Schizosaccharomyces pombe: one gene and its partner. The gene in region 1 interacts genetically with each later gene. Each region holds a gene or a part of one and is shown in the gene's direction. Other genes may lie near its edges.

Region 1 (4,517 bases):
GATCATTTTATCTTCACCGATAATGATCTCCTCAATTTTCTTACAGTGACCTAATTTGACAAGTTCAGGATGGTCAAAAGTTGAAGCAATTTCACCACCAGTGACCAAAGACAGCCGCTCAATTCCATCGAAGTCTGCATGTTCAATGGACATAATACCAGCGTCAGCGAACAGCTGCTCTGGCCAATTGTAAATGAGTTGACGGTTAATGAAGCAATTAATATTATGACTTTTGATTTTTTCAACTTTAGCCTTCATTTTCTCGCGCTCAGCGCGTTCAAGTTCGGCAAGCTTGCCAGTTGTGTCTACACGAACCCTAGCACCAAAAACTTTCACTTTATCCGTATCCATAGCCGTATTAGCAATTAAAATGTTAGCATTTTCCATAACTTTGGGACAGTTAACACCAATAGTTTTATTGAGAATAAATCCCTCATCAAGGAAGGAGTCATCAAGTTTACCACCAAGGATCTTAATAATTTGAATGTTATCCAAGTTCGTGCTACCTTTCAAGCGAAGCACTGCATCAACAGCCAGCTGAGCAAAATGGTTTTTATTCTGAGATAAGATTTTGGAAGACAGAGTAGTTCTGGCAATATTCTCGAGGTCACTACGAAATTTAGCAGGATCACTAGAATTATCAATAGAGGAAGCACGAAGAGCATCGATAGCAGTTTTAGTAGCAATACGATAACCATCGATAATCACTTGAGGATGTATTTTTGCATTGACCATAATTTCTGCTTGACGAAGAAGTTCAGCAGCGAAGACACACACACTGGTAGTACCGTCGCCAACTTCATCATCTTGGACTTTTGAGATATTCACTAAAACTTTAGCAGCTGCATTATCCAAAGCTATAGACTTAAGAATGGTAGCACCGTCATTTGTCACAACAATATCACCCGAAGAGTTTGATTGTAAAATTTTGTCCTATAAATCGTTAATTAAAAATTTTTTCTATGTAGATTTGACCTTACCATTCCCTTAGGACCTAAAGTGCTTTTTACCAAATCGCCCACAGCAATTGCACCCACAAACGATGAAAGACGGGCATTTTCACCCCGCTCTTGGATGCCACTTTCGTTAAAAATCTGATGAGGATTTAAAGACTATATCGTTAGTACGGTTTTTACACATGATATTACCATTTCCAGATAGTGTACGATAAACCCAGAGTTGCGGTGGTTGAGTGGAAAGTAGCTTACAGCGAACAAGAAGCTCGTCGCAACAACGTAAGCCGTAGCTTACCAGGCATGTACCAGCGACTGTATATTTCTAGTTTTGGATCGTAAATAATATTATAATCAAATATTTTTATAATATATATATTTCATTCTCTTACGTTCATATTCATGCAAAAGAAAATAATGAGACAGCTTTTAAGCATTGCTATATAAAACACTATTCTATTACTCTCAAATATAAAATATCAAAAAATTAAAAGATTTCCTATATCTATTCAAGTCTCTATGAAGTTAATACCGACTACTGAGCATGTTCAACAAACTAGATGATGGTTGGCTTAATCGAGTGTTTTATTATTGCTCAAAATGAAATATGAAGCGTCGATTAAAGATTTCAACTGATTTTTTATTTTCGATTCCCTGTATGACTTGTGTTTTCTTACAAGTACTAGACTAATGTTTTTGTTTTGGAGCAATATAGATATTGAAAGAACCAATGCGCAAATCTCAATTCTATTCAATATTAGATGGAACCATCTCGAAAAGTTAGCCAACAAGTTTCTAGATCTTTAAATGTGAATACCATCCTTAGACCTTGAGAAGTCAAGGATAAGCAGCATTTTAGTTGAAACGATAGATCAGTGATCACTCCTAAATAACTCAATATAAACAGTTTGTAGTAATACATCTAGCGCTATATTCTAAGCGCTTTTTAACATTAATTTCTTAACCAAAGAGTATTCTTAGTTTAGAGCGCGTACATTTCATAGAACGTGTAATTATTAGTTTTATTTTAAATTCAGTACTGTTCTCTGTATACAATTGACTTCCATGTAAACGTATCTTGAATGCCATTTAGTTGTAATATGAAATTCTTTGCCGAAGACTCAGCCATTCCAATCTTCCCTTTTGAATTACCTATACAACTAGGTACGAAATCATCTTCGGCACAATATCTTTATGATTGCACCGCAAAGTTGAGTTTCAACATTTATTTAAAGAATCAATAATTATTTTTTATTCAATAAAAAGCAAAATATTTAAAACGCCTTCTTTTCCCTTAATTTTAACCGTAAATGAGTGAATGAAGCGAGGTTAGCATTATTACAACAGCTACAGTCCTCCTTATTCAATCCATCCCACTAATGAAAACAGCCAGTTGATGGAACCAACATCTGAGCATTCATCAATCAAGGAGGAAGTGGAAAATGATAACGTTCATAGATCTCATGAGTCGGAATGTGGATCACTGCTGTTAAACCCTGGTAATGTTCTAATGGCAGCGCCTTCGGTGTCAGAGGATGATCAAGAAGTAAGCAGGTCTACACCAGAATTGCGAAGCCACGTGGAAAACGTTGAACAATTACTTTCTGATATATTGCATGATAATTCCTCTCCGCTTAATGTAAGCACTTCAGTATCGAGCAGTAGTAACAATACGGCTGTTGATGAAATTATAAAACTACTTTCGTTGATATCTTTTGATTTGGCAAAACAAAAGCGCACATATTTGATATTCTCTTCATCAGGGAAGCCCGTGTTTAGTAACATTGTTGATGATTCAATTGAGCCATCAACCGTTGGCGCGTTACAAGCAATTATTAGCTCTTTCGAAGTGTCGAAAGAAGAGCTAACAAGCTTTTCTACCTTTTCCAATGTTATCGTTGTTCTCTCCAAAAATCCTCTTTATCTTGTTGGCGTATCGCCATCGACAACTTTAAGCGCAGCATATTTACTCAGTGAGTTAAACCTCTTATATTGCCAAATACTTACTGGGGTTACTGCGAAAGCTATGCAGCTGACCTTAAACTCCCGCCCAAATTTTGATTTGAGAAGACTTATTGGAAGCAACGAGCAGTTCCTAAAAGAACTATGTGATCAACTTAATGATTATGAATTAGTCCCCACATTGAATGCCATATCTCCTCTTCCTTTACGTTCCTCTTTTCGTGATCAGCTGTCGCAACTGCTGTTGAGAGAAACACCCAAATCTCTGCTGTTTACTTTTATAGCTATACGAGGTCGGCTTGTTTGTATGGTTAAGGCGAAGAAGCTTTTATTACATGCTAATGATCTCTATTTACTTTTCCTATCACTCTTCCGCACACAGTCTTTTAATGATTCAATGGAGCATTGGGTGCCTGTTTGTTTTCCTACTCTAAATCCAGATGCTTATATTTACATTTATAGCTATTTCCTATGTAAGGACACTGTCTTGATAATGGGGAGCAGCGAAAGTGGTGTCTTTTTTGAAATGCAATCAGTGAAATGCAAAGTTGCTCAGGAAATTCAGGATCATGGATGGTTGAAAAAGCTCATTTATTGTGAAGAAATGGATAGAACTACGCCAAGGAATCCCGGATCTCCTTGTATTTCACATTACTTGTTTTATTCAAAGAAATACTCACAGTTTTATACTCCTGGCTATTCATTTTCAACTCCCAATTTCAATACTAGGTACGTATACAATGATCTATTTTTCTTTACAATTTCAATACGATCGCTATCTTTGGGCTCATTTGCTTTGCTAACTATGTTTTTAGAACTCTTTATGCTATTTATGCTAGCTTACACGACCAGGCATTTCACAAAAAAAATTCTTTCTCAATTAATATGACTGTCCATGAATCTTTGCTTCTATTCACGTGGTCAACTGCATCGTTCGACTTTCATTGTATTGCTAACGCTACCACTAGCAGTCAACTGCTTATTGCAAATGTTAATAAGATTTTGAGATGGATACGAAGGGAGGAGAATCGATTATTTATACAAACAAACCTTTCGTTTTGATAATGAGCATGTAAAGTTTAATGAAATTCATTTCTTTTTATTTTTTATGATGTTTTGACAGTAAAATATTTAAAAGAGCGGTGATTGCTTCCAACAGCTTTATTAATTTTTCTTTTTCCTTTTTTTGTTTTAATTTATTAATATCAGCATCATTTTACTCACATAAATTTCCGACTGTATGAACTTAATATCATAGCGAGTCAACCGCGCCATTACCTAAATCACCACCAACCCTATTTAAGTACTAAACAATCGAAATGTTTGGTGGTTTAAAGAACTTTATTAAAGAAAAATCAGAAGCTTTAGCTGGTATTCATCGAGAATCAGATGAATCATGTGGTTTCAGAGTATTAAAGGTTGAAAACGATTCGAAAGCCTATAATGCCAGAATTGAGTCTTATTACGATTTTATAACGGCAGTGAATGGGATCTTACTGGTATGAACTGATTATAGTTTTATCATTACTAAAGTGTTTTTCACAGAATGGAGACCCTTCAATGTTTATGGCTTTGCTTCGTGATTCTTCCCCCGAAGTAACT
Region 2 (4,765 bases), on another chromosome or scaffold:
AATTATAAACATCATCTGCGTACAAAAAACGCAGAGGTATAGCGGACAAGCATCCAGGTGTATTTGGCTCATCTAAGAACATTAAATCATAAGTTACCTGGAATATAACCAACTCACAAGACGATAATGCGAAGAGCAAACTTGGTTCTCCATTAGAGAAAACCAATTGTCTCACTGGTTGTGAGAATTTCCATATTGGATCCTCAGCAAACTCAAAAGCCGATACATTCAAGTAAAATGGGAATTCTTCAAAAGTTGCAGTATTTTGTAATGTCGGAGATGCACGAAAAATCCATGGAGACGAGAGGCATAAAAAGAGGAGATTTTCCGCAGTTTCATTGCTAATCTTGCTACAAGCAAGACATTCAGTTGTGGTGTATCTGTTTTTATCTGATGGCGCTGTTTTACCCAAGCAAAAAGTATTTAAAATATGTGGATTATATATAGACTCAGCAGAAGAAGCTAATTGAGACTCTTTCGCTAGTGTAGAAAATAAATTTCGCGGAACATATCTGCAAACACTTAAACCAAATGAACTACTAGTCGCTTTACGCGTGGAATTGGTGGCCTCAGCAGGAAGCTCAGTTAATTTAGGGAGTTTGTAGTTTGGATTTAAAGATAAGATATCCCATCTTTTGTCCAAGTCAACAAGCTCGACGCCCGTATAGGAGTCATACCTAGCAAAAGTCCATTCATTATTTTCAACCTTCTCCGCTCTGTGATAGCCAGATGGATTTAAAAGTTGACACGCCCCTATAATTCCATAATCCAAACTTACACTAGGTTTTTTACTAATTGCATCAATAGGCCATGTTGACATGAAGATAATTAGAAAAATAAAATTAGATTGAATTGTGTTTACAAAAACACATCTAACGACAATACAAGAGCAACCTAGCGACAAAGCAAGTAATCAGTGTTTCAAGGAAGCAATGCTGGAGTAATTTCACCTATAGTTAAGAACTTGACTTTATTGTTATACTATAATATATTTAAAGTGCTATCTTTAAACCATTATATAATTATATAAAATATAACTCCTACCGACTACATGCTTTCAATTGAACAATTTATTGATTTATGTTAACTGAGAATTTCTCTTTACTAGAAAAAGATGAAGTTTAAAAGTAATACTTAAATTAGTCATAAGACAGTGTTCAAGTAGGAGAGGAGTTCTTCTCCGAAGTCTCTAAGCTGCTATCAATTACATGTAGATTAACACAGCAACAAAACAATCTCCTTTACAATGAAATGCAAACGCTTACGATTTTGGAATGATTTAGCAATAGATAAATTGGTTTACGAATGTTGCATTAGCCCAGTTTTCCCTTTTCATAAAAAATACGTAAGGAGGTGCTGATACCTGAGGAAGAGTGCAATATTCAGATTAGCAAGTGTTTTGAATTCTCTTTAGTGTCCGCTTAACCAATTTTATCGATATGTTTATAATTTTGTAAAGTCAATAAGTTAGTTCAGCCTGTTATTTGTAAGTAATTTATTGTATGCAACGTCTAAAGGAGCTTGATACATTTTAACGTACCATTAAATATATTTAGACTTAAAAGCATCTTTCAAGTAATGTCAAGAAACCTAAAAAGACCGCTCGGCGACTTACATTCTAGCAAAACGTTGATTAAAAGAATGGCAATTAAGCTAGCTTCTACAAATATTTAGACTTTTAATAAAATGAAAATTAATTTTTCTTGCACAGAAACCCATACAAGTAAAGTTTATTAGTTAAAAAAAATGAAAGCTTCTGCAATGAACTTTCATTTTACGAACTTAATAAATATTTACACCGTATTGTTTACATTTAAATTTGTTACTTTAAGGTAGTTTTGATATATCTTCTTAAGCATTACGTCTTATGAAAATGTTATTATTTGGGTTGTAGTTCATCATTATATATATTGTGCATCGTACCACCGTGTGATTCTGGCTTTGTTTTCCCACATATTTTAGGTCTAACTAACACATATTTAATTAATTACTCTTTTTTACTAAAAGGACTCTGCTTGGTCGTTGTATACTTTGTATGCATCGCTTCTTTTGGTGAATTTTTTAATTCTTTGCAATCGCAGCAGAGAGAAAATAATTGTAATGAATTCGATTGCTAGGCTATCAGATGAAATTAATAAAGCAATCCTTGCCACTCCTTTAGACGACGATGAAGCTGACAAAGAAAAACTTGCTAATGCTCGGGGGCGAGCTTCATCAGCTACTTTGAGGCATTATAATCGTCGTAGATCGTCTTATTCGGCGTCCAGCCTTAGCAGTTTGTCATCAAAACCGACGGAAAAGGAAGTTCCTACAAGGAATGAAAAACCGAAGCATGCCAACATTATGCGTGTTGTCGTCTACTGGATTCGTGTGTTCCTGAAACGAATTTATACGTTTTTCGTTCATTCCGCTCGTGTATTTTTGTACCACTTTTTGAATGAAGAGAAAGAGTTTACCCTTGCAAGTTTTTTTTGGGGTCTATGCCGGTTTGTCTTTTTTCCTGTATTATTATCGTATAAACGCCGAGAGATGCTTCCCCCTCAGCCAAGTGTCCGCCGTCCTAGGTTTTATTCTTCTTATTCTTACCCATCCTCTCACCAGGATCCTGCCTATTCATCTTTCAAACGACATAGATCTTCTAATTCTTATAGCAGTTCTTCTAATGGAAATCATGTTCGTTTTCAGCCCTCTATTGCAGAAGAAGAAATTTCTTTCAATTCTTTTTCAAATTCATTGAATTCAGAAGAAGATGTGTGTGTTTCTCCTATGAAACCCAAAGAGGTCTCCCTAATGGGAAAAGCAAATTCCAATCGTTCAGGACATTCGCATCAACCTCAATCAACTCAGTTTTCCCCGCCTGCTAATGACAATATTTCTAAGCTGCCTTCCTCCTTTACGATAGTTAATGATCCTCTTAAATCTCCTTCTTCTTCCCGTCTCCGTATTAGAAACATTACTCTGTGTGCGGACAAAATACCGAGGCCTTTGTTGAATAGCAAGTTACCGAGAAAGACCCTTGTATTAGATTTGGATGAAACACTTATCCATTCCGTGTCTCGTGGTAGTCGAACGACTTCTGGACAGCCAATTGAAGTACATGTGCCTGGTGAACATCCAATCCTTTACTATATTCACAAAAGGCCTCATCTTGACTACTTTTTATCAAATGTGAGTCAATGGTTTCGCCTTATTTTGTTCACAGCATCTGTCCAGCCATATGCTGATCCAATAATTGATTATTTGGAGCGTGATAAAAAAATATTTGCTAAACGATACTACCGTCAACACTGTGCACTTGTCGATAGTTCTTTCGTTAAAGATATTTCCATTTGTAATATTCATCTTTCACGGATCATGATAATTGATAATTCTCCAGCCAGTTACAATGCTCATAAAGAAAATGCCATACCTATTGAAGGTTGGATTAGCGACCCCTCTGACGTTGATTTACTAAACTTACTTTCTTTTCTTCATGCACTGCAATATGTTCATGATGTGCGAGATCTTTTGGGGCTTCGTCTCGCAAAATAAGTGCTTTTCATGATTCCTTTTTTTTTTCGTGAGTAATTTACTCGTTATTTATCACCAGTAACGATGGTCTAAAATAACTTTTTCTACTGCATTAACATCTTGGGTGCCTTTCCTTTCTCATCATCAAACTTCTTTGTTATAACCTCAAAAGGGTACCTTTTGGATATTTCCTAGACCGCATTTGGGCCATTCCAGTTAAATAATTTTTGTTTCTTTTTGCTGATAATATGTCAATTAATGTAAGCCTAATCGTAAGAAATTCTTTCTAATAAACTAAACGCATGTTTTAAGAAAGATTAGTTTCTGCACTGATGTTCGCAGCAATTACGAAGGCAACTTACTTATGAAATTTCTTTCTAAATCAAGCTTTTAATAAACATGTTTATTCTATTTAAGTGTTGATTCTTTTTTTTTTACTTTTCAATCTGTTATTACAATCAACTTACTTAATCAGGATGGGCAAAGGATTATAAATGATTTAATGATTATAAACCAGATTACATAGACTTTTAGCATTTTAAAATCATATCACTAGGCTAACGACATTGTTCTAGCAAATAACATAACCCAAAACCACATTATTATTATATGTATCTAATAACACGAAAATTCAAAAAACCTAATATATGCAGAATTAATAGTTGAATCAATACCAACCACCACTTCTATTGAAGTTTAATACTTTTAACTAAACCAGCTTTAATACCAGTCTGCTCACCAGCATAGCCGCCCTGTGGTGCGCCCTTGTAAATAGCCTTTTTGCTGGCTAATTTCTTCTTAGCTTTTTCGTAGCGCATACGCTTTTTAAGTCGAGGATTTCTATTTTCTTTAGGTCGACGGGGAGTTAATCCTCTATTTTTAGCAATGTCTAAAGTAATTCCACGCTTATCACCTTCACCTAATTCAATTAGTTCTGGGTGCCTTGAAGCTCTTATTAAATCACGTTCGAGATCGTGATTTTCTTTACGGAGCTTTTTAGCCATCTTTGATTTTTTATCGAGAGACTCGTAATAATCCAAATCATCTTGATCTTCAACTTCACGATCGACATTTGCAGGTATGCCCATTGATTCCGGATCTTCATCATCAAGATCAGCACCAGCATCCTGATTTCGACCCCTGGCTGCAGCTTCTCTCATCAATCGCTGCTGGCGTTCAAATCTTCGTTCTTTGTATGGCATGTCCAAATCACCTGATAACTCCAGTACCGCTCTGGAACGCTTAGCTGCCTTTT

The links.
Region 2: of aut12 (region 1) and nem1, changing one enhances a phenotype caused by changing the other (phenotypic enhancement), as found in Schizosaccharomyces pombe (one study listed by BioGRID).

What each region holds. Positions count from the first base shown.
Region 1 is NC_003424.3:641,345-645,861, reverse strand, and holds aut12 (autophagy associated protein Aut12), read left to right. Parts: upstream 1-2,323; 5' UTR 2,324-2,349; coding exon 2,350-3,644; intron 3,645-3,730; coding exon 3,731-3,977; 3' UTR 3,978-4,017; downstream 4,018-4,517. Other genes in the region: chaperonin-containing T-complex beta subunit Cct2, read right to left, coding at 1-933, 981-1,112, 1,149-1,151; grh1 (GRASP family protein), read left to right, coding at 4,235-4,414, 4,461-4,517.
Region 2 is NC_003423.3:3,371,365-3,376,129, forward strand, and holds nem1 (Nem1-Spo7 phosphatase complex catalytic subunit Nem1), read left to right. Parts: upstream 1-1,937; 5' UTR 1,938-2,100; coding exon 2,101-3,531; 3' UTR 3,532-4,188; downstream 4,189-4,765. Other genes in the region: RNA polymerase I transcription factor subunit Rrn6, read right to left, coding at 1-820; U3 snoRNP-associated protein Utp3, read right to left, coding at 4,197-4,765. UniProt on the Schizosaccharomyces pombe protein: Catalytic component of the nem1-spo7 complex which acts as a phosphatase and may be required for proper nuclear membrane morphology.